Struthio camelus: one gene and its partners. The protein of the gene in region 1 interacts with the protein of each later gene in a pairwise test. Links are inferred from orthologs where the notes say so. Each region holds a gene or a part of one and is shown in the gene's direction. Other genes may lie near its edges. The genes, in order: ARL6IP1, SHMT2, SUCLA2 and ACSF2.

Region 1 (7,538 bases):
TCTGATTAACTCCAGAGAAGTCACAGGCTTTATATTTAATGATACTCGTGCAAATGCATTCCACTGTCATTGCTTCCTGAACCCTCTGCCATGCCATGTATTGCAAGAAAGAAGGTGTTTGAATGTTGCAGTGAAGAACATTCATGTGCAGAACAAGACACTTTACACTGTTGGTCCTTTTTACTTTTTCTCCAGTTAAAAATAACCTTATGAACAATCTGTTTGGAGTACCATAGTAATAAGAGTGTATTATACATGCTGTTTTATTTCTTGGAAGTTGGGGGAAGGGAGGGGTAATGCACTCACCTGTGGCTCATGTATTATACCTCTGCTGTCCAGAAATGAAACACTTGTGTGGAGATGGGTTCTTTACTGCATAATTTAATAAAGTTTTAAAAAAAAATTGTATTCATAATTTTCCTTTTATGCAAAACTGTTGGTGGTTTTGAAAATTATGAGGAAGAATAAAAGGCCTAGTACATAAATCCCAGATTAGGACTGGATTCTGCAGAATTAAGTGTGTAATGTTAAGGAGACAGCTTACCTGTTCAGGAGTTTGTGGGACTGTCAGCTTTTATGTGTTGAAGTCAAAAACACATTTTTCTTTCAGTCTTTGTTAAACCTAAAATAGAGTTCTGAAGCAGGTTTTGTGCATGCGTGTTGCATGTTAAAGACGACTGTTCTTTACAAATCTCTTTCCTGTAAAGACATAAAGTTACTTTATTTCAGTAAAACTGAGACATCAACTTTGTTGCTGCAACAAAACCTAGAATAATGCAAATCTAGAATCAAAATCTTCGTACACACACGTAAATCAACTGAAGTAATAGAAGCTGAACTGTTCAGCTGATGGCAGTGTTTTTGCATGATGCTCACCTGCAGTGAATTTTAACCAAGGGATCATGCTATAAATGAATTCCTTGCAGTCAAATTTGAAGTGGGTGCAGCAGTTTTAAGTTGCTGCCTCCTTTCAACTGTATAGTCTAATGGCTGAGATATTCTTCGCCTTCTGGGACTCCAGTTACTAGTTTGTCTATCTTCCCACTCCCCTTCTCTAAAATCAGGGTAGAAGCACTGCTTTACCTAATAGGTTATTGCAGTGTGTTTAGGCCTAAGCAAATGAGTCTTCAGTGGCATGTCAGGTTAGTTTAACTCAAGTTGAAATCGTAGCAAATACTTACAGTAATGGAATTTTTAGTGCTTTGCAGTACTTTTTTCATGATCTGTTTCTTTCCTTCTTAACATCCAATTTTGCATTCGGTGATTATTCTTTTTAAAATGTTTTCGTCTGTAATTTTTCAAATATCTGTAACAAACTCAAGTCTGTTATATAAATCAGAGTTTTGAGACATTGCAGGTGGAGAAAAACATTTTTCATTTTTGACTGGAGAAGGCTTTGAATTGGGTTTCTGTAGAATCATTGGTGAGACTTAGTGCTATGTCGTCTTGCCTGGGAAACAAGCATGCTTCATTGTGCAGACTCCACAGTGGGAATCACAGTGACCGTGAACGCAGCCCCTGCAATAACCACATAGCTGTCTGCTTTCTATTCAAAGCAGTTAACAAAGGATAAATACGTTATCTGCTTTGAGATCTCTCAAGGAAAAGCACCATATACAAATGTTATGCCAAAAATACTGGAGGGGATTGAAGAGTTAAAGCTTAATTTTTGTAAACATTGTGGTCCTGAAGATCCATTTCCTTTCGTCAGTGTACTGTACCTAGTACATTTGGCCTTGCTGTTTTAGCACGCTCAGGTGCTTCAAAAGTTTATTTGCCTGCCCCTCCCCTTTTTTGGCAAGCTTTTTCTGAATTAGCAGGCATGCCCCTCTATGGATTAAATATCATTCTAGGAAAAAACATTTAAGATGAACTGCCATTCATCTAGCTTTTGCTTTCTTAAACACATGGGTACGCAAGTATCATATGCAGTTTATATTTTTTCTTTAGTGGAAAATACCTATTCAGGAGTGCACTATTAGCATTTTAGTGAAATATCATTTTTTTTAAGAAATTTAGATAAATGTTAAATATTAAATTACTTTTGTGTGTACCTAAGTGTGTAGCTAATCAGATCATTTTTTCACTTCTATCCGGCTTTGTCTTTTTGTTGATAGCATAAGGGAAAAACATTTTTAGATGCATTTATTATGTTTTTCCATGTGATGAAGGGGTGATGAAGGGGTGAGCAAGTCTGAAGCTTGCTGCAAACTGTGTGTGAGAATGTCAGTGTATGAACAGTGCCTCTACCTTGCAGCACTATCTGCATGATATGTAGAAGCATATAGGAAACAACTGGTTTTCTATTAGTTCAGGTAACGTGTGGGAAGTGAAGAACAGACTTGCCTGACTGGGTTTCCACACTCTGAGCTACTGATAGCGCTGTATCCTAGTCCTGTATTAGGACTAGGAGTTTTAACAAATGTTGTATTTATATTTATACACATACATGTATGCACACACATGCACCTGTTTTTTGGATTTGCATCGTGCTTCATGGCCTGGCTGTTCACACAGGAGAGCACTGAGCGGCCTGGCAGAGCCTGATGTTCTTGCGTTCTCTGCTCTAGGGCACGAGCCCGAACTGATGCTCTTCCTGGACAGCGAGGATGTCCTGGGAGACCCACTCTGCCCTTCCCCCTCCCCACCCCAGGTGCAGAAGAGCACTTACGCAAGGGAGGGAGACCTGTGTGGGTCCACTGGGTCAGGAGAAAAGCTGGAGCTGTAGTCTCATTTGGGAACTGGCATTTGAAAGACCACCTGGGAGATCAATGAATCTGGCGGTGGGGATGGAGATGATAGAAAACATCTGCTTTTTTTATTGATGACTGCTGTGTTTTTGTGGTGAAAATCATCCAACTAGATGAAAGTAGGAGCTGGCTGGCTGGCCCTACTGAGGACGCTGCGACAATAACAGCATGGTCACGAGTAGAAGCGCAGTGCGTTGCTTTCTCAAAAGACTTTCATCAGAATTGGTGCTGACACCACTTTCTTATGAAATTATTTTTTGTTTGAGGCTTGCTGTAGTGCAATAATGGATTTTGAGGGTGGAACCCAACGTTTCTGAGGTAAGAGCAAAACTATACACAAAGATATTCTCAGCTTTTAGGAACGGCAAGTAAATTAATTTGAAAGTTGTTCAGTAAAGTATCTATTCCTTATAGTGCTCTTCAAAGTCATTCAAGATTCTGGAAGATCAAAGACAGGTGAAAGCTAGCACTGTCCCCTTTCTGCTCTGTGTCAAGTTCGTGAATCGAGGTGAAGAGGTGGAAGAAGAGTAATGCAGGTTTTTTGTTTGGTTGGTTGTTTTTTTTTTTGCCCCTCGCTTTGGAGTTGCGTTACATCCTAGCGGCTGTGATTAAGCTCATAAATGTGTCAGTCATGCATGTATTAGGACATTGAGTCGGGAAAAAAAAAAAAAAAAAACAACCCTAGTGCATTTCTCCCATGTCTATTCCTGTGCTACTACAGCTTATGAAAAAATTAAAGCAAGTTGTTAGACTCCTGGTGGTAATTATGGTGCCTAGGTCAGTTGTGGTTTTCAGACCTAGTGCAACTTCCAGGGAGCTATGGGTTATTTCATCTGCTTCCTGTGTGGTAATCTTGAAGGCATCTCTTGCAACTGGATTTAGCTTTCTTAGAGGTGACATACTGGTTGTTTCACATTAGTCAAAGGCAATCAGTTTAAATATATATGCTATTAAAGACATGCCAACTTTCTTAAAGTTTCTGTTAGTGAGATCTTCTGGTGACATTTCTGACATTTCAGCTGCAGCAGGGTACTTAGTAGTCTTGAAACATTCTGGACGTTTTCAGTACTATTCTTAAGACATGCTATATATGACAAGCAAAGGTAACATTTTAAAAAAGCACATTGAGAAGCCTTTTACTTAATACCTTCTGATAATCCCGTTTTTATGTTATAGGGCTAAGACTTTTAAAAATAAAAACAGATTCCCTTTGAAGGTCTTAAGGGGACAGGGATTAAGACGGCTAAATAAAACGTCTGCTTAACACATTGCACGTGCCTCTACCATGAAATCAGTGTGGTGTGTACTGAGCCCAGACAATTATTTTTTGACTAAGCAGCATTAACAACACTGCAGTTACGTCTCAGATGTTGACTGCGCTTTTGCTGGGTTGCCGTCCCCAGGACGCCTCTGGCCCTTGAGCAGCTTCCTCGCTTTCCAGCGTGCTGCCCAGCGCCTGGGAGGGCGCAGGCCCCCGGCACCCTGCACCGCTCTGGACCGGCTCCGCCGGGCCCAGGCGCCGCCGCCGCCCCTGCGGCGGCCGGGCCGTTAACGGCCGCTCCTGTCGCAGTCGCACTGCGACGGAGGGGGGGGTGGGGGAGGGGCGGATGCCGCAGGCTGATTGGTTGAGTCTCTCTATTCAAATTCCCACCGGCCAACCGGCCGTCGGTGAGACCCGGCCGGCGCTCTGGGATTGGCTCGCGCTGCGTTTCGAGCCGGCCAATCGCGATGTCGGGCAGAGCTGCCGCGGTCTGACGGGAGGTGGGGGCGGGGAAGGGGACCGCGGCTATAAGAGGCGGCGGCCGCCGCGGCGCCGCGGGGCGCGGTCGGGGGCGGCGGCGCGAGGGCGGCGCAAGATGGCGGAGGGCGACAATAAGAGCAGCAACCAGCTGGTGAGGGGCCGCGCTCCTTCCCGGGGCCGGCGGGGTGTTGCGGTGGCGGCGCCGGGCCATCAACCCCCGCCGGTGGCGAGGCCGCTGGCTGGGGAAGGGCCTCGGTGGGCCCGGAGTGGCCTCTCCGCGCCGCGGCCTGGCTGGCGGCCGCGCTCGGCCCTGCCGGGGGAGAGGGTCGGGGAGGCCGGGCCGGGCCTGGCCGGGCCTGGCCGCGGCGGCCGCCGCCTTAGCGGTGTGAGCTCCGCGCTCGCCTTGCCGCTGCCGTGCGTGGATGGACTCGGGCCTGGCGGAGCCTGAGTTCGACTAGGGCAGCTCTGCGCCGCGCTTAGAAACGGCACTGCTGCTGCTGTGCTGCTCCCAGCCTCGTAATAATGCCTCGCTTTACCTGATGTGCAAGGCTTACGTTTAACGTTCATATCTTCATGTTTCGACATACTTTGGCTATGTTTTAGATGTTTAAAAGGTGCAGGAAGATAGTGACAGGAGCTGGATAATTAATGTAACTAAAGCACGTAAAAGGTGGCCTTGGCCAAGGGTGTGACTGTGTCCGTCTCTGTTATGGATGAACAACGGGTGCTGGGGAGACTGCTGTAAAAGCGTGGGGCTGAAGGGGTGAAAGAAAGGAGACTTTTGAGTGGAGTGCCTACTAATGTTTTTTTGAACAGGAAGCTGGACAGTTAGGAGATACTGAGGGAATCAGAACTGATGCTTTCTTTCAGTAGCTTAGAAGTGGAAAGAAACTTTAAATTTCAGAAGGAAAAAGAAACAGATCTATGTTGCCAAAAACATGTTCTATGGTCTAGAGAGATGCCCCCTTCAGAATGGAAGTTCATGTTTCTGGAAACTTAATGTTCTTTGGTTAATGACAAATCACTTTTGGTGGACGTGTTTTGGAATTAAATAGTGTTGCTGTTGACAAAACTGACATAGTAAGTTTTTTCTACCTGGCCCTGTGGGCAAACAAGTTACAGTACTCATAGGCTGACAGAGGCAGACTGCTACTACCAGCTGTGTTATATTCCAAACTGTTTCCCATTAAATTTTCTTTTGACTGTGTTGTTAGTGGCAGACAGCTGGAAGTAATAAAGAAAAACAGTTTGTTGTAAAATGCTTTCTGGAGAAATGCAGCTTTTTTTTTTTTCCATTTTTATGGGGGTTTATATTCTATAAAACATGAAATAGATGTGATAACTCGAAGGCATATCAGGTAGATAGCTATCCACTCTATTTTGTCTGTAAGTGTAGTTTTAAAATAGCTTACAATGGTATTGTATAAGAGAACTGTGCTTTACCATGGTAGCTGCACGCAGCTCTCTCTGTTATCCTGGGAAATGGTGTCAGGTTTCTCATTTGAGGTAAGTGTATCATCCACTGGAGAATTAAACCTGCTGTGACATCTCTGCACGGCAGATGTGCAGATCTTGATGACTTTTAACCTCTTGCTATGTAGGAAATAGTCTGTTCTGTTTGTGGTTACTTGAGTTTTGTAATCTGAGATCTCTTGTCCCGCTGAGGGCAAACTAGTAAATTTGGCACTCCTCGGGCCAGCTGCTCAGCCAGCTTATGCTGGAGCAGATCCAAAAGATATGCTGAGAGCAATTGCATAATGTGATGCCTTTGCTGGTGTAGGAAGGAGTGTAAAGGTCCCCTTGTCACAGTCTTGGGCAACTTGTGGAAACTGAATTGTGGAAAACTGAAATAGACAATTTGGGATATGACATAAGTGCTTTATAGAAGAATACTTTTTGTTAGGCTCTATATTAACAGGTTTTGTAATTCTTTTAAAAAAAAAAGGCTTTGAAGGAGAGGAAGAATGGGAACATGCATATGGTTAAACAATCATTGGAAAATATATATAGCAAAGTGCATAAAGTGAACTGGAGAGTTGCCTCAGTCTTTGTACCAATTAATATACTGAGTTGAGAGTTGCTGCTACTTTGCTGGAGTCTTGACTTTATGCTAAAGTGTCACTGCTACAGTGTCATCATATGGTAGGCAATTTACAACATCATTAGCAATGTAAATACACAGAAGGATTTGTGACTGCAGTCTTTATTTAATATATGCTCTTTAGATACTTCACATACAGGAGCTAGTGTGATATTCTGGTTAGTAATAACAAGTTTTCTTCTCTCTTCTTGTGTAGGCTGCAGAAACTGCTAGCTTAGAAGAGCAATTGCAAGGATGGGGAGAAGTGATTTTGATGACTGATAAAATTCTTCGCTGGGAGAGAGCCTGGTTTCCTCTTGCACTGATGAGTGTTGTTTCCTTCTCTTTCCTGTAAGTAGCTCATGGAGCATAGACCAGCATTGTGCTCTCATGGCTAGTGGCAGAAGTGTTAAGAAAACTACTAAGACGTTTTCTTTAAAAACCTAATGGGAAGCTTTCTTACTCCAAGTTCTGTTCCTTAATGCATGTTAACTTTCTTGAAAAGAAAAAAAGAACTGGGAACAAGAACTAACACCTCTCTCATCCCACTCAGATCTTGTACTTCCTTTCAATGTCTTAGCTATAGACTTCTTAAAAAAAAAAAAAAAAAAAAAAAAAGTGCTGGGGGTGAGGGGAGAGGTGATGTTTTCTGGAAAAGTTTGTCAGGGATGACTGCTGTAGCTTCTTAGCACCTTCAGCTGTATGCTGTTCCCTTTTTTTTATACGTATTTAACCCTCACCCTTTGTATGCTACTTAGTCAGATCTGGTTATCTTCTGTGGCTTTTTTCCCTAAGCCAACAGCAATGCTATTATGGTCTTAAGTTATGACAGAAAGCTTGTTCCCATTGGGCCAACTTCTCTGAAATGTTAGCAATTTTGCACTTTTGGCATGGTGTTTAGGCGGAATTCAGTCATCTTCACACAACTGGTACTTTCAGACTGGCTCTTGCACTCATTAAAAAGAGA
Region 2 (6,911 bases), on another chromosome or scaffold:
CCCGCCGGAGGTGCCGGCTCAGCGGGGGTGAGCACCGGTGCCCTGCGGCTAGGCAGGCTCCTAGGGTGCTGCTCTGTCTTCTGTAGGGTGCACGGCCCCGTGCGCTGATGGCATGAGACCTGACGGGCTCACTGCAGAAATGGCCAGCTGGAGCCATGCCCGGCTCCTCCCTCCAGCCCCACCGGGTTGGCGGGTTGGAGTCAGCACTGAAGTGCTTCTCCCCTGGGGCACAACCCCACCGGCGCCTCCGCTCCACGCCCTCCGCGTGTCCCCGCCGTGCCCGGACGGACGCCTGCCGGCTCGGGACGGCGTTGGCGGCCGGGGCCGGGAGCAGCTGCGGGGGGGGCCCGGCCGGGCAGGCAGGTGGGGGCCGCGTCCGCCGGGGCTGGAGAGGCGCCTGTTGGCCCTGCGCACCACTGCCAGCTTGCCTGGTGCCTGTCCTGGCAGTGGGACCGGCCAAACCTCCTCCTGGAGGGGCCGTGGGGCCGGGCCGCTGCTGCCTGCCTCCGGCTACCGCCGCTTGCCTCTGCCTGCCGCTGGCTCCAGTCCAGGGGCCCCCGGGCCGCCCTGCCGGTGCAGGGGCTTTGCGGTTGTCTAGCGCTCGCGTCCCCCTTTGCCACCCGCCTTTTCTGCTTTCGCGGCTAATTCCCTGCCCCGGCAGCAGGTGGGAAGCGCCCCCAGACTCCCGCCTCCCAGCAGAGCGAGGGTCTCCGCTTCGCCTCGTGCACGCCCTGCGCAAGCAACGCAGCCTGCGCTGCAGCTGCCCCGGTGCAATTACCCGGCAGGGAGGAGCGGCTGCCGTGCAGCCTGGCGGGGGCTCTGTAATTTCAGCTGCAGATCAGAGGCGCTGCGTAATGCAATTAGGCTTCCCTGGCAGGCGGCGCGGGGCTCGCCTGCCTCCCCCTTGCCCTCGCCTCTCCGCACAAGCTTCCCCCAGCCCCGGCATTTCAAAAGGCCTTGGATGTGGCGGGGCAGGCAGTAATGAACTGCCCGCTGTCCTGCCTCTCCCTGTCACGGGGACGGGCGCTGCTGCAGCCCCGGCACGCGGACGTGGGGAGGGCCCGGCCAGGGCTGCACAGGGACGGGCGGGCGGCCGGGGCAGGGCGACGCAGCGCTTGGACGCAGGCATGGCTGGGGCGCCGCGGGCAGGAGGCGTGCATGGGTGCAGGGGGCAGAGCAGGCAGGAGGGCTGGGTGGACGCCGGAGCGCGCAGGTCCCAGAGGCGGGCACGGGCGCAGGAGGGGGGCATAAGTGCGGGAGGGATGTGTAACTGCAGGAGCACACAGGTCCGAGAGGCGCGCTCGGGTGCAGAGAGTCGCGTGGTGGGTGCGAGGGGTGCATGCAGGCAGGAGTGCACAGCTCCAAGAGGAGGTGCATGGGCACGTGGGCACAGGAGCAGTGCGTGGATGCAGCGGGGGGCATGGTGGGTGCAAGGGCTCTGCAGGCGCAGGAGGGGGCACGAGCGCAGGTGGGGCCGGGGGGCCGGGCAGGCTGAGTGCAGGGGTGACGGGCACAGGCTCGCGCAGCCTCTGCCATCTCCCCCCAGATGGTTTGTGCCGAGGGCCACATCACCAAGAGCCTGGGCTACCTGGAGCTGGGCACCTCTGGCCTCCTCAAGGACGTGCCCTACGGCAGCCTGAAGCCCCCCATGCTGGAGCCCGGGCGGCTGATGCCAGGTGAGCTGCTACAGGGTGCGGGGCAGCCCGCCGGAGCCGCGCATGGCCCCTGGGACTGGCAGAGGAACCAGACGGCCGGTGGGGTGCCGAGCCCCCGGGCCCGGCGCAAGCCCTCGCTCAAGGCCGCCCGCGCCAAGAAGATCTTCGGCTGGGGCGACTTCTACTTCAACATCAAGACACTGAAGTTCAGCCTGCTGGTGACAGGGAAGATTGTGGACCACATCAACGGCACCTTCAGCGTCTACTTCCGCCACAACTCCTCCAGCCTGGGCAACGTCTCGGTGAGCATCGTGCCACCCTCCAAGGCGGTGGGCTTCGAGGTGCTGGTGCCCGCACCCGCTGCGCTCCCGCACCCGCCGCCCCCGCAGAGCACCCTGCCCCAGGGCCGCCCCAAGGCCCTCAACTGCCACGTGGAGTACGAGAAGACCAACCGGGCGCGCAAGAACAAGCCCTGCCTCTACGACCCCTCCAAGGTGTGCTTCACCGAGCACACGCAGAGCCACGCCGCCTGGCTCTGCGCCAAGCCCTTCAAGGTCATCTGCATCTTCATCTCCTTCCTCAGCATCGACTACAAGCTGGTCCAGAAGGTCTGCCCCGACTACAACTTCCAGCACGACAACCCCTACTTCGGCTGACGGCCCCGGGCAGGGGGGGTGGTGAGGCCATGCCGGTGTCCCGGAGCGGGCTCGCGCACCCGGCCCTGCAGCGGGGTGGGGGGGGGGGGGTGGCAGGCAGGGGTGACCGTGGGCACCGGGCTGGCGGCAGGTTTTGGCTTGTGATGGGGGGGGAGGGGGTGGGCGCTGGCATGTGGCCATGCTCACAGCTGGCTGCAGCTGGGGGGGGGAATGCAGCTGTATCCTGTTTTTGCAGCTGTATGAGGTCTGCATGTGTGTGCACATGTGGATGCATGTGTGCACACTCTAGTGCACCCCTCTGTGTGTGCATGCCCATGTACACACTTCCATGTGCCCGGATGCACGCGTGCACACCTGTATGCACCCTTATGTGTTTGCATGTGCAGCCACACATGTGCATGCCAGTCAGGGTGCCTGTGCGCGTGTGGACACCCGTCCCGGGTATTTTGGAGCTTTTCCCCAGCCCCCTCTGCCTCCCCTTGGCGGGGAGCACCCAGGCCGGGGGGAACATCGGGCACCAGACCAACTCTTGGAGATTCCCCCTCTGCCACCTGGGGAGAAAACAGCCCAAATTTGCAGTCTCCCGCCCAGATTTGCCCCCTGCTTGCCGACCCCGGCCGAGCCAACCCCGCGGTGAAGAGGGACGTGCCTGGGGCTGGGGCTCGGGGCTCGGCACGTACAAGCCCCTGCTCTCACCCAGCTCTGGGCAGACTTCTTCATATTTTTTTAAGAAAATCAAAATGAAAAAGTGGAAAATTAAAAAACAATTAAAAAAAATTGGAAAGCTTGCTGAGGAGTGTGCTGATGCCGAAGGCCATGATGGCCAGCACGGTGACACCGACGGTGCCTGCCGCCCATGGTGACGGACGCCTGGCAGGTGTCCGCAGCCGGCGCGAGGCCGGATTCCTGGGAGCCCGGGTGCCATTGCCCTGCCAGGGCTGGGCGTTGTGCAGCGCCTGGCACGGCCAGGCTGGGCCAGGCCGGGGGGCAGCCCCACCGGCGGGGTGCCGGGTGCTGCGGGTGGGGGGCGGCGGTGCAGACAGTGGGGTGCAGGGAGGAGATGGATGGAGTGCAGGGGATGGGGTGCAGGGAGGGGATGGATGGGGTGTTGGGGTGCTGGGGATGGGGTGCTGGGGATGGGGTGCAGGGAGGGGATGGATTGGGTGCAAGGCTGCATGGACGGATGGGGCACAGGGGTTGGGGTGCAAAGATGCAGGGGACGAAGTGCAGGGGATGAACGGGTGGGGGTGCAGGGGATGGGGGTGCAGGGAGGGGGTGGATGGGGTGCAAGGCTGCATGGACGGATGGGGCGCAGGGGTTGGGCTGCAGAGACGCAGGGGACGGAGTGCAGGGGATGGATGGCTGGGGGTACAGGGGTGCAGACGGTGGGGTGCAGGGGACAGGCTGCAGGGATGGAGGGGTGCAGGGACGCAGGGGATGGGGTGCAGGGGACATACAGATGGATGACGGACGGACGGACGGACGGACGGACGCAGCGCCCGCTGCCGCCGGGGGCGAGACCTCCAGCTTCCCGACGGGCCCCGCGCTCCCGCCCCGCCCCGGTCCCGCCCCCGGCAGCGCTCGCGCGGCGTCGGCGGGGCCGGACCGGACCGGACCGGGACCGGGGCCGGGGCCGGGACCCGGCGGGGCCGCGCGGAGCTCGCAGCGCCATGTGGCCGCTCCGCCTGGGCAGGGTGAGTCGGAGCCGGCACCGGTACCGGGGGGCGCGGGGCCGGGGCTGGAGTCGGGCCGGACCGGGCCGGACTGGACCGGGCCGAGCGGGGCGGCCCCGCAGCCCGTCCCGTCCCGCCGGGAGCTCCCGCGGTGCCGGTGCCGGTGCCGGTGCCGGCCGGGCTCGAGCCGCGCTGCCGGGCCGCCCCCGCCCCCCCCTCCCCCTCCGCGCCCCCCGCAGACTTTGCCTGGTCCCAAAGTCCCTTTGGCAGCGGCGGGGGGGGCCGGGCCGGCACCGGGGCTGCCCTCGCCCCCCCCCCCCCCACCGGCGGATGATGCAACGGGGCGGCCGCGCTTGCATCAGGCGGGCCCGGCCCGCTCCGCCCCGGCGCCCCCCAGCCCCGGGCGGGGGAGGCCCCGGCGCTGCCCCCGGGACCGGCGGCCGCAGCCTGGGGCGGGGCCAAGGGCCGCTGCCTGGCTGCAGCCGCCGGCGGGCAGGTGCCCCCGGGAGCCCGGGCGGGGGGCAGCGCCCGGCGGCTGGAGCGGGGGGCGCCCGGGGGGTACCCGGGGGGCGGCAGGGGGGGCGGCGCAGCCTGCCAAACGCGGCTCTCCCGGGCAGGCCCTGTGGCGATGCAGCCCGGCGGGTGCCGGCGGCCTGCGGGCGCAGCACAGCGGTGTCCCCGCCGCCGCCGCCGCGGCTGGAAGCGCGCCTGGCTGGACGGGGCAGGAGAGCCTGGCAGAGAGCGACCCCGAGATGTGGGCCCTGGTCCAGAAGGAGAAAGATCGGCAGTGCCGGGGGCTGGAGCTCATTGCCTCTGAGGTGGGGCACGGAGCGGAGCGCTGGTGGTCCTGGGGCGGCCCCTGCTCAGGTGGGGGCTGAGCATGCCCTGTATGACCCGCTTTTCCCCCAGAATTTCTGCAGCCGGGCGGCGCTGGAAGCCCTGGGCTCCTGCCTCAACAACAAATACTCAGAGGGGTACCCTGGCAAGAGGTAACGGAGGGTGGAGGGATGTGGGGTCTGGGCTTGGCTGGGCAGCTCCTGGGGGACGGAAGGCAGCAAGGGCGCTAGAGGGGCATCAGCAGCCTTCTGGCAGCCTGCGTCCCACTACATCAAAGACGAAGGGGAGCGGCAGGACACCAGGTGTGTTTCAGAGCAGGGCTGTCCCCTCCGCTGTGGTCACCTGTGGGGCACAGGCAGCTCCCTGGGTGGGAAGCACCCCATTACCTGCTCCCTTCTTCTCCAGGTACTATGGGGGAGCTGAGGTAGTGGACCAGATTGAGCTGCTCTGCGAGCAGCGGGCGCTGGAGGCGTTCGGCCTGGACCCAGCCCACTGGGGAGTGAACGTTCAGCCCTACTCGGGCTCTCCAGCCAACTTTGCTGCCTACACAGCCCTGCTGCAGCCCCATGACCGCCTCATGGGGCTGGACCTGCCCGACGGGGGCCAGTACGTACTGCACATGGGGCGGCCTGGGGGCCTGCCACCTTTTGGGGTGAGCACCTGCTCCAGGGCCCAATGTGATCCTGCATATCCATCCGTTCCTCCACAGCCTCACGCACGGGTACATGTCGGACATCAAGAGGATCTCAGCCACGTCCATTTTCTTTGAGTCAATGCCCTACAAACTTGACGTGAGTTGAGGGGGGGCAGACTTTCCCGGGGAAAGGGGGGATCTCCTAGCCGAACCCCCTGTCTCAGCAGGGGCCTTTTGGGTGCCTCAGTGCAGGCGCTGCCACTCCACCATCTCCTCTGCCTCCTTCCCACCCACTCGGTGCGAACCGTAGCCGTGTGTCGCAGGATGCTTGGGAACCCTGGTGGTTCAGCCCTGCCATGGCCCCAAACGCTCTCTGCTCAGAGCTGGGCAGTTGGGAGGTTTCTGTGCCCCAGCAAGTTGCCAGCTCTGGTCTTGGTCCGTCTGTCCTTCGCAGCCAGCCACAGGGCTGATCGACTACGACCAGCTGGAGAAAACGGCGCGGCTCTTTCGTCCTCGTCTCCTCATCGCCGGCACCAGTGCGTATGCCCGCCTCATTGACTACGCTCGCATGAAGAAGGTATGGGGGAGCCCAGCTCTCTTCTCCCCCAGCCCTGTCTGGGGGTGCCGGGGAACTCCTGTGGCTGGTGCGAGGCTGATCGCATCCTGTCCTTGGCTGTGGGGTGGGGCGGGGTGGAGGGATAGGGGGTGTCTATGACTGCCTGATGCCCTGTGTGCCCCAGGTGTGCGAGGAGGTGAAGGCGTACCTGCTGGCAGACATGGCACACATCAGCGGGCTGGTCGCAGCCAAGGTCATTCCTTCGCCCTTCGAATACGCCGACTTGGTCACTAGCACCACCCACAAGACCCTGCGTGGCGCCAGGTGAGGATGCGTTCTGCCTCGCTCTCCAAGCGGGAAGATGCCTGTTCACAGGCAGGGTGGTTGCAGGGGGGTGTAGAAGCAGTGCTTTTATTTCATGGGCTGGCTATGGGGCAGACCCCCAACCCAGTCCTGGGACAGAAGGGATAATGCCCTGGGAGTCCCTGAGGAGGGCTGGTAGCTGTCTAGGTCACTGCCCCTTGGAGGGGCTGAGTCCTCTGCTACTGGCTTCATGGGGGCTGAGCAGACACAAGGGTGGAGCAGTGCCTGTGAACGCTCTCTTCACCAACAGGTCAGGACTGATCTTCTATCGCAAGGGCGTGCGCTCGGTAGACAAGAAGACGGGCAAGGAGATGCACTATGACCTGGAGGACAGGATCAACTTTGCTGTCTTCCCTTCCCTGCAAGGAGGACCACACAACCATGCTATTGCTGCAGTGGCTGTGGCCCTCAAACAGGTGTGTGTAGGGGGGCACTGGGCTCGGGGTTAGGGAGGTGACGTGGGTGCCCCTGTTGACGTAGTCTGTCCTCCCAGGCCAGCTCACCTGCTTTCCACCAGTACTGCCAGCAGGTACTGAA
Region 3 (7,842 bases), on another chromosome or scaffold:
AAAGAAATAACAATCTGCCACCTGCAGCTGAAACTGTTCCACAGACAATCCTTCTACTTAAGAAAGAGTTTCCAAAGTAATAAGTAATTTTACCTTTGCCTATGCCCTGACCTTACCTTTATTATAAATTTATGTTCTGCATAGTTCTCCACAATCCTGGCTTCATATTAAACTCCAAACAGTGTTTTTTCATTATCTTTTTTTATTGGATTTTGAGAGCTGTAAGATTTTCTGCACTGCCTAGATCCTTATCACAGAACAGAAAATCCTTGCTTTTAATATTGTAGTTTAGAAAGGGCCTAGCTGAGCAAAAATAAAAGTTGAGTCTTATAACCTTCACTGACTATCATGAACTACTGCACTTTTTTGAGACTAGAATTTTCTTTTTTATAGTAGTGCTAGAATTAACATTAGTGCTGGTTCCATTAAGAGTACCCTTTTTCATCGAGATATACTCCTGTCCCTACAGCGGTCACAATCTTTACAGTGGCTCATAGAGAATAATGGTGTGCATATGCAAGAGCAGTAAAGTAACAAGGACAAATTGGAGCCATGCTGTGTCGAGGGAAGGTGTGTTCATTGCTTGTCCATTATTTCTTTGCTCTGGTGTGAACAGATAAGACTGTGTCATCAGAACGACTGTAGGTGGTGAGACAGCTCCCTGTTTAATTTCCAGCTCTGCCACTAGCTTTTAAGTGACCTTGGGCAACTCATAGGCTGGCAAAGATGGATTGCTTCCCAGCCTCTATAAACCTCCTGTGTGTACTCAATTCCAGGGCACTTAGGAACAGAAGAATATGAAAACAGCTATAGTAGTTCAGGACAAAAATCCGTCTAGGTCAGTGCCTTGTGATCAAAAGTGGAGAAAGTAATAGGCAAGAAAACATGATGTAGCTCTTGACTACTCTCCTATCCTCTAACTATTTGTGTCTCAGTGACTTCTCAAGGCAAGTATGGTGTCTGTGTATTCACTAACTCTCGTTTGATTTCTCTTCTTTGAACTTATTAAGACTCCTCTTGGGCCCATGTAAACTTCCATGATTTGCAGGAGGTCTGCAAGGCACTTTACAGCCTAACTATACACTGCATGAAGAATCACCTCCTTTTGCTTGCTTTGACCCTTTCACCTACTAGCCTCCCTTGATGTTTCCTGCTTCTTGTATTGGCAGAGATGGTGAGCTGGTGCTTAATGTTTGCATTGTCTCCTGTAGACAATTGTGCTCATCCAGACCTCAGACTGCTTACAAAGGCCTGTTGCAAGGACAGGTGAAAATGACAGAATCCTTTTAGGGAAGACTCGAGCGTCTTCAAGGAAGGACACTGGATTGTCTTTTCTATATGACAGTCATTGCAAGGACGGGTAGAATAACTGGAACCTGCTCAGAGGGAGTTGGAGGCCCCTGTCTGCTGACCTGCCCTGCCATCTAGGGAAGTTTGCTGCTTGCTAGGAGCTTGCTTTCAGGATGTTGTGGAGAGGTTTCTGAGGCTTATCCTGCCCTCCGACTATTGCCCTCTGCTACTCTTCCATGTGAGCACCAACGATACAACCAGGGGAGACCTGAAAAGTATCAAATATGGCTACATGGCTCTGGGGGTAATGGTCAAGGGCATGGGGGCCAGGTGATGTTCTCCTCAGTCCTGTCAGTGAGGGGGAAGGGTCTGAGGAGGGTGCAACAGATCTTACAGGTCAACAATTGCTTGCATAGCTGGTTTTGCATAGAAACCAAGATTTCCGTTTCTATGACCATGGGGTCCTCTTCAAGCACAGACAACTGTACATAAGCGGAAGGGACCTCTTAATCAACAAAAGAAGACTAAACTAGAATCACCTCAATGTATGTAAATAAGGAAGTGCCTATGATCTCATTGGGATCATAGAGACATCGTGGGATAGCTCACATGACTGGAATGCTGTGATGGATGGATACAGGCTCTTTCAGAGGAGGGGGAGTTGCCCTGTGCATGGGAGTGCAAGGAGGTCTGCCTGGGGATGGTTGAGGGGCTAGCTCAGAGCTTATGGGTCAGGATTAGCAGGCAGACCAGCATGAGTGAATACTCTGGCTGCAAGACCTGCTCTGTAAAGGAACGTAGACACCACTGCAGGATTTTCTCCCTTTGCTTCAGGTCAGTTTTTTCCCCCTGACCTTGGCTGGTCTTGCAGCTAAACCAGTTTATTCACCTACCATGCTAAGAAAGTGAGCTCCTTCTTCCTATCTCCCTTGAACTAAAGGGATCTTAGAAACACAGTACAGCTTCATCCACAGTTGTTGGGATGCTTTTGAAGGCCCTATTCAATCCCTCCTTTCATTCTTGGAAATTTTCTGCCCTCTAAACTCATGGCCTTAGCAAAGGCTTTGGCTTTCTCACATAGATGACCTCCTTGGCAAGACCCACTGTCATAATGTTTTTCCACTTAAACGGTGCCTGGTGGGGCTTACGAGGTGGATGGTGTTTCTATGAAGGGAAGCATGTCAGAGTGTACCAGTTTTTCACGGCAGACATAGTAAATCCATAATAAAGCAAATGCATATCTAGTTCGTAACACCTGAGCCTCTGGGATGATTTATTTGGTTTCAGACAGCTGGACCTCTGTTAAAACTTCTGTGTTCCTTCTGCTTTATTTGCATCTTGGATTTTCCCTTCTTCTTTATAGATTTCAATGCATCTTCAGAAAGGGCTTATGAAGGCCTTAGTCCTGTGTTAAAAATCCTTGTTCTTTCTGAGTTTAGCAAGAAATCTCAACATTTTAAACTTAGAATAAGAAGGAAGGAATCTATATTTAAATGTTTCTGGGGATGTGGCCAAATATATGGATACCTATCACAATCCTACAATACATTCACCTGTCCTGAAATTGTACATTCTCCATGGGTGTGGGCCAGGTATTGAACTTGGCTGAGCCTGTGCAAATCTGAGTTACTTTAACTGGAGTTACTAGCAATTCACCTGGTCGTACTCAAGATCATTATCTTTCCCTATTTCTCTAAGGAAGCAAAGAAAAGGTGGATTTGTAATTTCCAAGAACTGATGTTTTTATGGTTTGAACTGCCTAACTCCAGACCACCTTGTACTGGCGGTCTGGCCCAGATGGTGGCACTGGTGATCAGGCAGAAAGCAAAGACACAAATTCTTGCATTCTTAGAACAAATCCTGGTTAGACTAGATCTGACAGCTAACAAGGAAAAAAGACAGTGCGATGTCCAAATAGTTGGAGCTCTCCATGCGGCTGTTTATCATACTATGGAAAATGGCAGCAGCTGCCATGACCTTTATAGAAATCCTGTAATATTGTAAGAAAATGTAACGTTTCTTCTTCTGATGTACGAGACAAAACCCTTATTTTCATCTTAAAGCAACGTAACTGGAAAAATAAGTTCACTGTACGTCCCTAGTGAAAATAATAACGTACTTCATATAGGTAGTTATTGTACTCTGAGTGTCTTGTAACTTTTTAAAGGTAAGTACGAAGTACCAGCTCGGTGAGATTTGTCTGACTTTCTTGCAGCAGCAAAGGAGTCAGGACGTAAGCCCAGTTTCCTGATCTCCAGTCTCCATAGCTCTGTAGCTCTGGGTGGCCCTCTTTATGTTTTAAGTTTTGCCAAAGTCTGTTCCACTGTCTTTGCAACTTTGTTTCATTGTTACCTAGGCTTTCTTTTTATTTCCAGGAGGGGGAGCCATTTTGGAGAGTCTCCGGATGCGAGATTCCTAGTACGAGTTGTGAAATTTCCTGGAGCTTATAGGAGGGAATGACATATAAGCGCTACCCTGTGAGAGAGCCACTGGCAAGCCTGGTGTTCTGAGAAGAGCCACGTTGTGTACAGCCGAGAGGTGTTTTGGCATAGAAAGAGCACGAAGTTGGAATGGTGGTGGTTGTTTTTTTTTTTTCTGGCACAGAGAAGTTGTTTACCAAGGAAATGTCTCAGATTTTACCAGCTACAGTGGGAAATTTTGGAGGGTCTATCAAAATTTTGCATTTATTGCAGGTTCAATAAATGTGCTCATACCAGGAATGTCTGAACAGAGCGGGTGGATATCTAAGCGCTCTACCGAGTTCGCTGCAATCTTAACAAATAATGACATATCCAAGCATATCCAAGACAGCGGGGGACCAGAAGCAAAATAACTGAACTATAGTTACCATATCTTTTCCAGCACTTGCCTAATGGAAAGCTATTGTAGCACGCTTTCAGTTTCAGAACAAAAAATGTAACCTAACCAGTTGTTGGGTGATTCCAATTACAACACCCGTTAAAATTACAACTTCTGCATTGCTTTCCTTAAGATTAGATCTAGCTTTAAAATTCATTATGTGTATAAATAACTGCATTATTCCTGCTTATTTACTGTCAGTAGAGAAGTTTTCTCATTCTGGCTTCCCAGGCCACTAGTTTGCCTTAAATAATGTTTTCTTTTAAAGAAAAAGCATTGTTTCCTTGTGAGTCACAAACTTATTCCCTAGGTTCTGCGGAGAGTTCTGTCTTCTGCATTAGCGTGTTAGTGAAATGACTCAAGGTCACCGGGGTAAATATATGCACGCTGATTTGCAAAAGCGGACACACACCTTTAAGCTGTGTGAGGCAGAAATTATTTTTTGGCACCATTGTACCAAGACCGGGGGGAGTAAACATGGTTTTCAAAATAATAGTTATGTATTAAAAAATTGGGTCTTCAGTTTAGCCGTTGATTTGTTTGATTTATTGTATGAAGACACCCTAAAATATGGGGGGGGGGGAAGGAGTGTTTTCAGAGTAAACACGGTCACCCCCATGTCCCCTCCCCATCCCCGCTGTCTGCCGCAGTCCTCCCCGCCAGGGGGCAGCACGGCCGCCGAGGCGGACCATAGAGTCCCCACCCCGGGCGGTTGTTATTGAGGAAAGGAGCGGCACGAGCGCTTCCTCCTCCGCCCCGTTCGCGTTCCCTCTGCTCCCGCCACCTTCTCGATGATAGCGCATGCGCGCTGAGAGGGGCAGCTGAGGGCGAAGGGGGCTCAGCCATGGCGGCCTCCATGATCTGCAGCCGGGTGTCGGCCGGGCTCAGGGGCAACGGCCTCCGCGCCGCCGCGCTGGGCACCGCCACGGCGAAGGTAGCGGGCGCTCGGGAGCGGCGGGGAGACGGGGCGGGGCGGGGTGGAGCGGGAGAGGAGGGCGGGAGCGGGGCCGGCGGGGCCGGGCCGGGCCGGGCCGGGCCGCCGTTGGGGTCGCCGCCGGTGAGGGGTGGCGGGGAGCGGCCGTTGGGGGCGGCTCGCCGCGCTCCCGCCGCCGCCCTGCCGCGGCGCAGGGCTGGCTGCCCGCTCCTTCCCCTCCCCTCCCTGCTGCCGTCCGTCCATCCGTCCGTCTTTGATCTACGTGCCCCCGCTGCTGCCCCGTGCTGGCTTGCGGCAGGTCTTCCCCGGGTGGTTCCCGTTTCCTTCCCCCCCCCCCCTTTTTTTTTTTTCCTAACTTATTTTAAATTCCCGATATTTCTATCTCTGCCGTCACGCGAGTCACACGCGAAACCGGGGTGTGCCAGTAAACGCACTTCTCCCAGCTCGCCTCTGCCTAGCAGTCCTCTTGGTCTTGGCCTGGTCTTGTTTCCCGTGAATCCTTCTTCGGAGTGTGGTCTCGTTCTTGGCTACAGCACCCGTGGCAAATAATACAAGAGAGCTAGTGAGTCTAAAGCGTATAACCCTCTGTGCGACTCTCTCCACCTTGCCCCTACGGCAGGGGAGGAAGGTCACTGTGAGTTGCCTTCTCGTGTTACGCTGCAGTCTTTGAGGGCTCGGCCAGTCAGTCAGCTCCAGAAACAGCAGCTACAGCAGTCAGCACCTCTCGTTTGGGTTTGATGCCAAGAAAAGAGCCTGCTGCTTGCAGAAGGAATCCTTCGGAGGTTAAATAGGTTCTGATGATTTGCTAGCCTGAAATGCCATAGTAAGGATCTTGTGTTGTCTGCATACTTATTATATTTAAAATGAAATAAAATCTAGTCTACTAGAAATTTGCTAGTAGAGATTGATTTTTTTTTTTGGTGATCCTCCTACCCAATAATATTTTTTTTAATCAGAGATAAAGCCTTACTTGTATTCAGGTCTGTTTTATACTCTTTATACCTTTAATCTTTCGGCTCTAATCAGTGTAGAAAAATTGGTTGAATTCAATAAGTTTAATGTTTTGTATATATGTAAAGTTAAGTCATATTCTTTTACAATGAAATATAAAATGCCACACAGATCTGTGACTGTTGTGGTTGGTAATTTTTTTGTTATGAAATACAGTTACTTTACAAAGTATGTTTTGGAAATCTCTCTCTTAAAGTCCATGAGCAGTTGTTCTTTTAAGAGGCATTGTGCATATAGTACTATAGTATGTTCTGGTGTTTTATAATCAAAATTGATTTCTCCTTGGATTTGCTCTACACGAAGTACCCAGTCAAAAATTCTGACAGTCCTGTACATCAGTTTTGTAGAAGAAGTTAACAATCACTTATTCCACACTGGAGTTTCCTGGACTGAATATTTGGCATGTTTTCTTTTACTTAGTATTTGAATTCTTCTGTTCTCTTATGCTTCTGCACTTGCTGAAGATTTTTTTCCCTATAGATATATTCATTGAAGTACTCAAATAGTAACTAAACACTCAAGGGTGTGTTAACCCTGCCAGCTCTTGCTGCTGCTAGCAACTGCCCCAGCTCTGCCCCAGCGAAAACATAGACCTAACGTGAATGACTAACGTGGAAGGATAATGTACAAGAAACATAGGACTAAGTGTTCAGATGTTTGCGCTGGTACACTAAACTGTACTTGTTTAATACATAGACTTTTTTTTTTTTTTAATCTAAAGAAAGAGAATGATTTGTTTAAAATACAATCATGGTGTTTGATTCTTTTCTTTCCCCCCTTCAGGTACTTGGTGGAAGTCCAGGAATACTCAATAATCATGGGTTTCAAGTGCAACAGCAGCAACAAAGGAGGCTGTCACTACATGAATACTTGAGCATGGGACTGTTGCAGGAGGCTGGCATTTCTGTTCCACATGGAGTAGTTGCAAGGACACCAGAAGAAGCTTACAGCATAGCAAAAGAAATAGGTATTATACTAAAGAGAACATATACAATATAGGTATGGGAGTTGATACAAGGTGTGACTACTTTTTATGTCTTTCCTGGTAAGACGTTTCTTGGAGTTCTGAATATACCTTCTGTTAAAGAGAGCCTTCCCTGTGCATAAACTGCCTTGCACATCTGAGTATTTACATACTGACATTTTCCTAATCTGAAGTATTCTAACGCCTAAGATAGCACAGTGCACAAGCAAACAATGAAATCAGTTAAGCAACCTAGGTGTAAGTGCACTCTTCGTTTTGCATCGAGAATGGCTTATCAGCTCTTCTCCATCCCTGATGGTCAGGTTGGGAGACACTTGACCCTCCTTCCAGAGAAGGATGTGAAGATATATTAGAGGCACCGTCATTCCCATACCCCAAACTTTGCAAATGCTTTTTCTGTAACTTTTGATTCTTGTTTAGAAGGAATGTATTCTGAGAGAATGGGGCGAGTATAAATTGTTCTATGTACCAAGACTTCTTTGAGATGTGTAATGCGCTTTAGTTTGGGCAAATCCTACATTTGCCATCTCAGGCTAGATTACAGGAAATCTTGTGTGACTAGTTTCAATGGTGGTGGTAGGTAAGGCCTCTCTAGTCCAGAACTCCCACAGATCAGAGGATGCAAAGGATACCTACGTTTACACTGCAGAAGGACAAAATCCTTTTGTTTTGTGAATGTGCTGTCCTGGCAGAGTACAACTCCCCTCTTGCAGGAGGGAAGAACTTTGGCTTGTAGTTATATGCTAAATTCCTGATTTGCTGA
Region 4 (7,729 bases), on another chromosome or scaffold:
ACTAAACGGTTGTTCAGAAGGTCCAAGTGCTGCAGATTGACCAGGCGGCCAAAGTCCAAGGGCAGTTGTTGAAGCCGATTTTTACTCAAATCCAGTTTCACCAGATGCATCAAACTACAGAAGTCCGACTAAAACCGAGACACACACACACACACAAAAGTAGAAGCAGCTTGGCATCACCTTTACAAAGGAACCCCAGCTGAGAGTGTGTCGAAATATCCTTCACCTTATGTGATAAAGCCATAATCCTTAACACAAAACTGTGTGATGGAGGAAAATCACCCTCTTCCTCTGCCTTGGAAGACAGAGGTAGAAAACAGTGGGACACCCCTGTTTCCTAGACAAGGTGATATGCCGCAATATATCTGAAACAAAACTGAGCCTCTATTGCTGATGAAAGTGGTTTGTAAAGTTGCAGGGATCCTTTGGCAGGGAAAAGGATCTTCAGCTTTTTCTCTCTTATTGCATTATGCCTGCCTCAGTAAAAACTACCATTAATACTAACCCTTAATTGATGGTTTTGTCATTCAGCCAACCCAGGAATGAGAGAAGTGCTAGTTCTAAACCTCCTACTGAATCTCTATTGAAGGACTTTGTTTTTTTTTTAAATATTATTTCCTAACAGATTTGCCTCATCTCCACAAAGGCTCCCTAGCATCTTACCGGCAGAGAAATTAGGTTATTACAGGACAAATCCAATATAGTAGCTTTCGGAAGGGCAGCCTGAAAGAGAAACAAAGAATTAGATCAAGCTATATATATATGTATATATGTGTATGTATGTATACACAACAGTGACGTTCTAGCATGCTGGTTTTGTTTTGTTTTCTTCCACGCCAGTTTGCGAACTCCTCAGCAGTTGCCACCGAGATGACGTTTCATCTTAATTAAGCCCTGGTTCACAATTCTGGTTTTAAAAGATACTGCTTCGGAAATGGAGCAGACGCTGAGGCTACGCATCTAGCTCGCAGAGCCCGAACACCCTCGTCTCGGGTATTTTAAATGCCTGCAGGCCAGGTGACGAACAACTGCCGCTGCGGTGCGCAGCTCGTTCGCTGCAGCGGGAGACGCTAGCGGCGCCTCTTGAGGCGCGGAGCGGCGGCCGCGGCCGCGGGCGGATGCTCACCAGCTCGCGGACCGGCACCTCGCTCAGGTCGCACAGGCTCAGGTCCAGCTCGTTGCCGTCCAGCTTGTCCTTCAGGTTCACCCCCTTGGCGGCGCCGCCGCCGCCGCCGCGCGCCATGGCGCCCCCCCGCCCTCCGCGGCACCGGGGGCCGGGCAGGCGGCTGCCGCGGGCGGAGGAGGGCAGCGCGGCGCGGCCCCGCCGCCGCTCCCCGCCAGCCACTTCCGCGTCCACGTCCGCGCTCGGCCCGCCAGCGCCGACGAGCCGCCCCGCGCCCAGAGGGGCGCCGCGCCGCGCCGCGCCTCGCCGCGCAGCGCGCCCCCTGCCGGCCCGGAGCGGCCCGCCGCCGGGCTCGGCGGCCCCGGCCCATCGCTCCTCCCGACGCAGGCAGCCGCTGCACCTCTCCTGGTTCCTGCCCTACTCGCTCGGTGATTGCAAGGTCATCGTCTGACCAGTGGCCTTCTCTTTGAAACGTTTGAAACTGAGCAGCGTGCTCTAGGTGACGCTGCTTGAGCAGGGGGGCTGGACTAGATGATCTCCAGAGGTCCCTTCCGACCTCGGCCGTTCTGTGATTCATATGCAGAGAATAAATAAGATGTCTCACTGCTACCCCACAGGCTGGTCAGATTTACACCTTGTCATTTCACCGTTCACACTATGTCCCATGAAAAACTAAGCCTTTAACGAGCAGTAATCCCAATATGAACACAAAACCCAATTCATGCATGCTTTCTTTACAAATACTAGACATTGTTGCTTCCTGCTCTTCATAGCCTCCATAATTACTGAGTGCTGGACTGGCTTTTTGTTGGCTTATACCAAGATGTCTCTCTTTACCAGGAGGAATTTGCAGTAATGTTCCTGCTTTGATCTGGAAGCTCGGATACAGCACAATCAAAGTGTTCTTTCACCTTGACTGACCCACTGTTGAGAAAGTCAGTGAAAGAGAAAAGCAGGCTGAGGGAGAGCCAAATTAATATTACCCAGTAATGGGATTGCAGTGAATGCTAACCTTGAATTTTTTGACCCCTATGCAAAATGTGATGCACTGGACCTTGCAAAGATGTTTCTAACTAGTTCAGCACATCTACCCCATGGATACTTTTGAGTAGGGTTTTTAAGCTGTCGCTAGGTGTCTTAACAATGCTGAGATAATCAAGATCTCTGGAGTCTCTGAGCAAAGGCACCACAAAATAGCAAACAAGGATCTGCCACAGAGTCTAATAAAGGCTGCCTAAGATCAATGCACTCTCATTCAGGAGATTAGAGAAGTTGCTAGGAGCAGGTTATTGTGCCTCCCACCGGTGACTGAAATTGCAGAACTCACACTTGAGAAAAGCGAGGTCTAGTTATGCAAGAATCTCTCTCTTCCCTCAGCTTTTCAAAACAAGGTTTGAAAGGCCAGAGGAAGACTTGAGCCAGGGACCGGTGGGGAAATCTCGCATTTCCAGATCTCCCACCATGGGCACCCAAGTGAGGCAGTCAATTGCCTCACTCCCATGTTAGTCAATGTGGGACTCACATGTCCCCTGCCTCCTCCTCAACCTGATAGGCACCATGGCCGTCTTAGCAGGGGCATACACAGTCCTGCTCCTGAGGGCAAAACTCGCAGGCGTTTTGAGGAGACCTGAGGCAGATCTTGTACCTGTATAGAGAAGGCCTTTGTATGTGGAATGCTGCAGATGACTGGGAACGTCTGAAATCTAGACCCTTGTAACTTCTGCATAATTCTTGGTTTAATATGTATCTGGGATTCACCCCATAGGCTAATCCTCTAAATGTGGGAAGATCAAACTGAAACTCAGCTTTATTTTTGTTTATTAAAGGTGGGGGTTTTGGATCACTTTTTTTTTTTTTTCTTCTCGTCTGTGGTTATACAACACCGAGCACACTTTGATGCTGTTGCAATACAAATAAATGTAATTGCACTGTGCTTCGCCGAAATAGTGAAGGGATGACTTTTGGCCATGAACGTCAGATGGCCTTACATCATTTACACAAATCCATAAACTCTCCTATCTGTTGATTTTAGTGGGACTGGCACATGTCAATATATTTACCTGGGCATGTCTAAAAAGTCTTAGAACCTACATGAGACAGAGAAATCAGGGCATATTTGTTCACTTTGCAGGAGGAAGGATGGAGGGAGAAGTAGGGAGAGGAATTGCTGAATGAAGCTGGATGAACACTGTCAATCTAATTTTTGGCCCTGAGTGCCTGAGAAGATTCCCAGACTCTCTTCACAGCGCTGACCTGCCTTGCCCAGTGTCCCATGTGCAGCCATGGCCAATTTTTCACTCTTCAAAGTCAAAAATCTCCCTTCCCCCAACCAAATAGAACGCTATCACGGCTGCCACCAAACAAACTCATCTTGCCTTGTGAACAAGATATGTGTCAGGGGAAAATCCCTCCCGATTCTAAAACCAACTATCTGAACCGTGAGGTTCGGTTATGCAGTCAGCATTTTACTGTGTGGCTGTTATTTATAAGCGTATTTTTGGCTTTGATGTCAGGGATACACCAATTCTGAGGCCAAAATTGATATCCTTGTTCATAAGCTCCATTGTAATAGTCATGGGATAGACACACTGTAAAGTGTCTCTCTGCTGAATTCTAGCTTCCACCTAGGCAGACCGAATTAAAAAGAGCAAAGAGCTGCAAAATAACTAGCCAAAGATCACATTGCAAGGTCAGTAAAGGAGCCAGAAACAGAGCCCGCATTCAGGCTAGCGCCCAGCTGCTAAAACTCCTTAGTGAATGCTTCTATGGTATTTAAAAGGTGTACACTGTTTTCTGAGATCCACTTTATCCCCCGGCCCTTTCATGGGAATTAATTAGCTTTTTGCCATGGTTGCAGGCAATGCTGGGAAAGGGTGCCTGTCATTTCACACTCAGAACAACGCGTGCGTCACCCGTTGTCCCTCAGTGTCAGCGCTGCTGCATCGGAGGCAGCGCTGCTCCTGCGCCTGGGTGCTCGAGGGAGCTGAGCGCCGCAGCGCTCCTCGGCCGGGCGCCTGCTCCTGCCCTTCCCGCGGGTGAGGGCAGCTCAGCCTGCCCCACTGGGGAGAAGGTGTGCAGGTCCCAGCTGGCCTCTCCTCTCACCAGAGCAGCCCGCTGGGAGAAGGCAGAGTTTGAGGCTGTTAGGTGGTACCCGCGCTGGTGAAGTGGATGGGGCTCAGGACTCCCAGGGGCTCAGGCATCAGGCGATGAAGATGAAGGAAAGCAGAGGGGACGGGTGCTGGCCGCCTGGACAGCGAGCCCGTTTCATTCCTCACGCCGAGGTCCGCGTCAGCCAGGCTCACAGGGTTCATTCGGGCCACACGGAAAGGCCCTGGCTGGGGTGCAGCATCTGGGGCTAGGCAGAAAAAGGCTGCTGGGGCAGCCCGGAAAAATAAAAGGAGTTAGCGGCAGGGACGGCCGGCGGGGCGCGGGGCCGGGCTCGCAGGAGCCCCGCGCCCCCTGCCGCCCGGGGGCGAGCGCGGGCCGAGGCGGGCCGCGGCGCGCACCGCCCCCGCCGCCCGCCGCCGCTGCGCCGTATAGGGCGGCGCGGGGAGCCGGCCGGGCCCGCTGTCGCCGCCGCCGCCGCCGCCGCCGCCCGCATGGCCGCCGCGGCCCGCCTCGCTGCGCTGCCCCGCCGCCGGCTGCCCCTGCTGCGCGGGCCGCGGGGCGCCCGGCCCGGCAGGTAGGGCCGGGGCGCTGGGCGCTGGGCGAGGCGGCGGCTGCGGGGAGCGAGGGAAGGGGGACTCTGGGGACAGGGGGAGGGGGCTGTGGGGAGTGGAGGCTGTGCGTGGTGGGACGGGGGGCTGGCGGCGATGGGACGGGGAGCTATGGGGGCAGAGGCTGTGGGTAACCGGGGATGGAGGGCTATGGGGAGTGGAGGCTGTGTGTGGTGGGATGGGGGGCTATGGGGAGTGGAGGCTGTGTGTGGTGGGATGGGGGGCTATGGGGAGTGGAGGCTGTGTGTGGTGGGACGGGGGGCTATGGGGAGTGGAGGCTGTGGTGGGATGGGGGGCTATGGGGAGTGAAGGCTGTGTGTGGTGGGATGGGGGGCTATGGGGAGTGAAGGCTGTGTGTGGTGGGATGGGGGGCTATGGGGAGTGGAGGCTGTGTGTGGTGGGACGGGAGGCTGTGGGTAACCAGGGATGGGGGGCTATGGGGAGTGGAGGCTGTGTGTGGTGGGATGGGGGGCTATGGGGAGTGGAGGCTGTGTGTGGTGGGATGGGGGGCTATGGGGAGTGAAGGCTGTGTGTGGTGGGATGGGGGGCTATGGGGAGTGAAGGCTGTGTGTGGTGGGACGGGGGGCTATGGGGAGTGGAGGCTGTGTGTGGTGGGATGGGAGGCTGTGGGTAACCAGGGATGGGGGGCTATGGGGAGTGGAGGCTGTGCGTGGTGGGATGGGCTATAGGGGACAGAGTCTGTGGGGACAGGGGATGGGGGGCTCTGGGGACAAGGGATGGGGGACTATGGGGAATGACAGAGAAACCATGTGTGATGGGATGGGGGGGCTGTGGGGACAGGAGACAGAAGGCTGTGGGTGACTGGGGGTGGGGAGCTATAGGGCCTGGGGGTCTATAGGGCAGGTTCAGAGTGATGTGGGTACCCAGCCAGGTGAGTGCCACGTGCAAACAGGCCAAAAACAGCTCAGGGGTGCTAGAGGTTTCACTCTTTGCATGCTTTGCTGCCTCTTGGCTCCCATAAGATCCTTCCAAAGTGGCAAGAGACAGGCTGCATCCCTTGGTCTGACCCCCAGGCCTGGTGGGGCAGGGACCAGGGTCAGGGACAGTTCCTGTGCAGCATGCAAAGAGGACATGGACATGTGTCCTGGGCTGAACTTTCCTCGTGTGACAGCTTAATCTCAACGGCAGTCATGTGAAATCGCATATCAAATAGCTTTTCCATCCCCCTTTGCCGCTCCGACTTATGGCCTTCTCCTAGCATTGTCACTGCCGTTGTGGCCATGCAGAGGCTCCCTGGGGTGCAGCTGGTGGTTGGGTGACGTGGGGCACTGGGGTGGGAGCAGGTCTCAGCCACTGAGGAGCTGCAGAGCGCTGGGGTTTGGGGGATCCAGCCAGTTCTTTGCCTTGCCTTTGTTCAACATGGCCTCCTGGGAGAAGGTGGTGGGAAAGGACAGTAGCAGAAAAATGCCTGAGTTGGGATGGGAGAGGCTTTGGAGGATTAACTGGCATTCCAGATAACTCTGTCCAGGGAGGTTTGGTTTCCAGGGAGTAACTCTGCCAAGAGCTGTAAGGAGCAAATCTTGCTTTTCACATGCAGCATCTAGGTGCTTGTTTTCAGCTGGGGTTGAGATGAGGAGTGAAGTGGTTGGTGCCCATGTGGAGCCAAGACTGCAGGCCCAAAATCTGTTCTTATGAAACTGTATCAAGAGGCAAGGCGGTAAATTCATTGTAGTTTGGACTGCAGCCCAGAACTGTAAAAAACTGAGGAGCAGGAACACAAAGTATTTGCATTAAAAAAATCAAATGTGGGGGCAGGGCACGCTAAACTCTTGCTCTTTCTAGTAACAAAAATGTTTCTTAAATTCTGCTCTTAGCAGCAAGCAATTCATCCTTTTGGCAGGAGGAGTACAGAAGGGAAAGGGGCTTAGTGGAAAAAAAATGAAAAAGTCAACTGGAATCCAGCATTTGAAAGCTCTGTTAAAGCTCTGGGAAATCTACCATTCCTCAATCCAAAGCAAAAAAAAAAAAATATCTATATATATATATATATAAAATCAAAATCTGGTTAAGTCTTTCCTACAAAAGGTTGCTCTAAAGAGTAAAGAAGAGGTAGAGATAGAGCTAACAGGGTTAATTTCTGCCACCCTTTTATTGCAGTTTTTCCAGTCCGCTAGGACCACTCTCTCCAGTCTCCTCTTGTTTTTTGGCAGCCACATTGGGGGGAAATGGGCCAGACCAAATTTTTTACCTATTAGTAGCTGTTCCCTTGGGCCTGAGTCCCCAGAGGAGCTGTGCAGGACATGAAATGCTTCTGTTTCCTTGCTCCCAATGCAGCAAAGCGCTGAGTGTGATCTCAGCGTCACTTGGGGAAAGTGCTCTTTTGCAACTAGGCCAGCAGTTGCTCTCTGAGTGCTCTAGCCTCTCCTTCCCTCCTCAAGACCTGTAGTGAACTCAGCGTGGAAGGAAGCAGAGACTTTTTTTCTCTTCCTGAGCTGGTGGATGGGGAGAAACGTGCGGTACTTAGGGACAGATTCTGCTTCCTCTGCAACTGGTGGTGACTTGACCTTTGCTTTGGAGAGGTGAGAATGTGCCACTCTCAGTGGAGCATCTTTGCAAAGTTGGTGGCATTGCCAGTTTCCTCAGCTGCCTTGGCACTGAGTGCTGCTGTGAGTGACTGGAACTGCTTCTCCAGAGCCTCCCTCCCCACAGCCTTTGGACAGTGGCTTGTCTGGTCACAATTTCAAATAGCGTAGGGTGTGGCAGTGAAAGACTGCAGTGTTTTTTGTGGCTTTCCCAGGAGCATTGTTCCTTGTCTTGGATTAGCGAGAGTTTTGCAACCTTTAACAAAGGCTTTTCTTCTGCAGAGCCTTGTTTCATCTCCTAGTTTACTTATGTGCCCTGCCCAGAAGCTTTCACACAATAAAAGATA

The links.
Region 2: the proteins of ARL6IP1 (region 1) and SHMT2 interact in binary tests that used the Homo sapiens proteins (3 or more experiments, as listed by UniProt). The two-hybrid records come from large-scale screens. The link is inferred for Struthio camelus from reciprocal best matches to the Homo sapiens genes ARL6IP1 and SHMT2.
Region 3: the proteins of ARL6IP1 (region 1) and SUCLA2 interact in binary tests that used the Homo sapiens proteins (3 or more experiments, as listed by UniProt). The two-hybrid records come from large-scale screens. The link is inferred for Struthio camelus from reciprocal best matches to the Homo sapiens genes ARL6IP1 and SUCLA2.
Region 4: the proteins of ARL6IP1 (region 1) and ACSF2 interact in binary tests that used the Homo sapiens proteins (3 or more experiments, as listed by UniProt). The two-hybrid records come from large-scale screens. The link is inferred for Struthio camelus from reciprocal best matches to the Homo sapiens genes ARL6IP1 and ACSF2.

What each region holds. Positions count from the first base shown.
Region 1 is NC_090956.1:10,492,330-10,499,867, forward strand, and holds the start of ARL6IP1 (ADP-ribosylation factor-like protein 6-interacting protein 1), read left to right. Parts: upstream 1-4,524; 5' UTR 4,525-4,606; coding exon 4,607-4,642; intron 4,643-6,788; coding exon 6,789-6,922; intron 6,923-7,538. UniProt on the Homo sapiens protein: Positively regulates SLC1A1/EAAC1-mediated glutamate transport by increasing its affinity for glutamate in a PKC activity-dependent manner.
Region 2 is NC_090969.1:174,302-181,212, reverse strand, and holds the start of SHMT2 (serine hydroxymethyltransferase, mitochondrial), read left to right. Parts: upstream 1-3,911; 5' UTR 3,912-3,981; coding exon 3,982-4,005; intron 4,006-4,601; coding exon 4,602-4,802; intron 4,803-4,893; coding exon 4,894-4,973; intron 4,974-5,226; coding exon 5,227-5,427; intron 5,428-5,530; coding exon 5,531-5,612; intron 5,613-5,909; coding exon 5,910-6,032; intron 6,033-6,195; coding exon 6,196-6,335; intron 6,336-6,624; coding exon 6,625-6,790; intron 6,791-6,867; coding exon 6,868-6,911. Other genes in the region: NXPH4 (neurexophilin-4), read left to right, coding at 1,547-2,311. UniProt on the Homo sapiens protein: Catalyzes the cleavage of serine to glycine accompanied with the production of 5,10-methylenetetrahydrofolate, an essential intermediate for purine biosynthesis.
Region 3 is NC_090942.1:192,086,128-192,093,969, reverse strand, and holds the start of SUCLA2 (succinate--CoA ligase [ADP-forming] subunit beta, mitochondrial), read left to right. Parts: upstream 1-4,834; 5' UTR 4,835-4,993; coding exon 4,994-5,083; intron 5,084-6,877; coding exon 6,878-7,061; intron 7,062-7,842. UniProt on the Homo sapiens protein: ATP-specific succinyl-CoA synthetase functions in the citric acid cycle (TCA), coupling the hydrolysis of succinyl-CoA to the synthesis of ATP and thus represents the only step of substrate-level phosphorylation in the TCA.
Region 4 is NC_090960.1:7,767,409-7,775,137, reverse strand, and holds the start of ACSF2 (medium-chain acyl-CoA ligase ACSF2, mitochondrial), read left to right. Parts: upstream 1-4,717; 5' UTR 4,718-4,722; coding exon 4,723-4,805; intron 4,806-7,729. Other genes in the region: LRRC59 (leucine-rich repeat-containing protein 59), read right to left, coding at 1-128, 664-723, 1,127-1,243. UniProt on the Homo sapiens protein: Acyl-CoA synthases catalyze the initial reaction in fatty acid metabolism, by forming a thioester with CoA. Has some preference toward medium-chain substrates. Plays a role in adipocyte differentiation.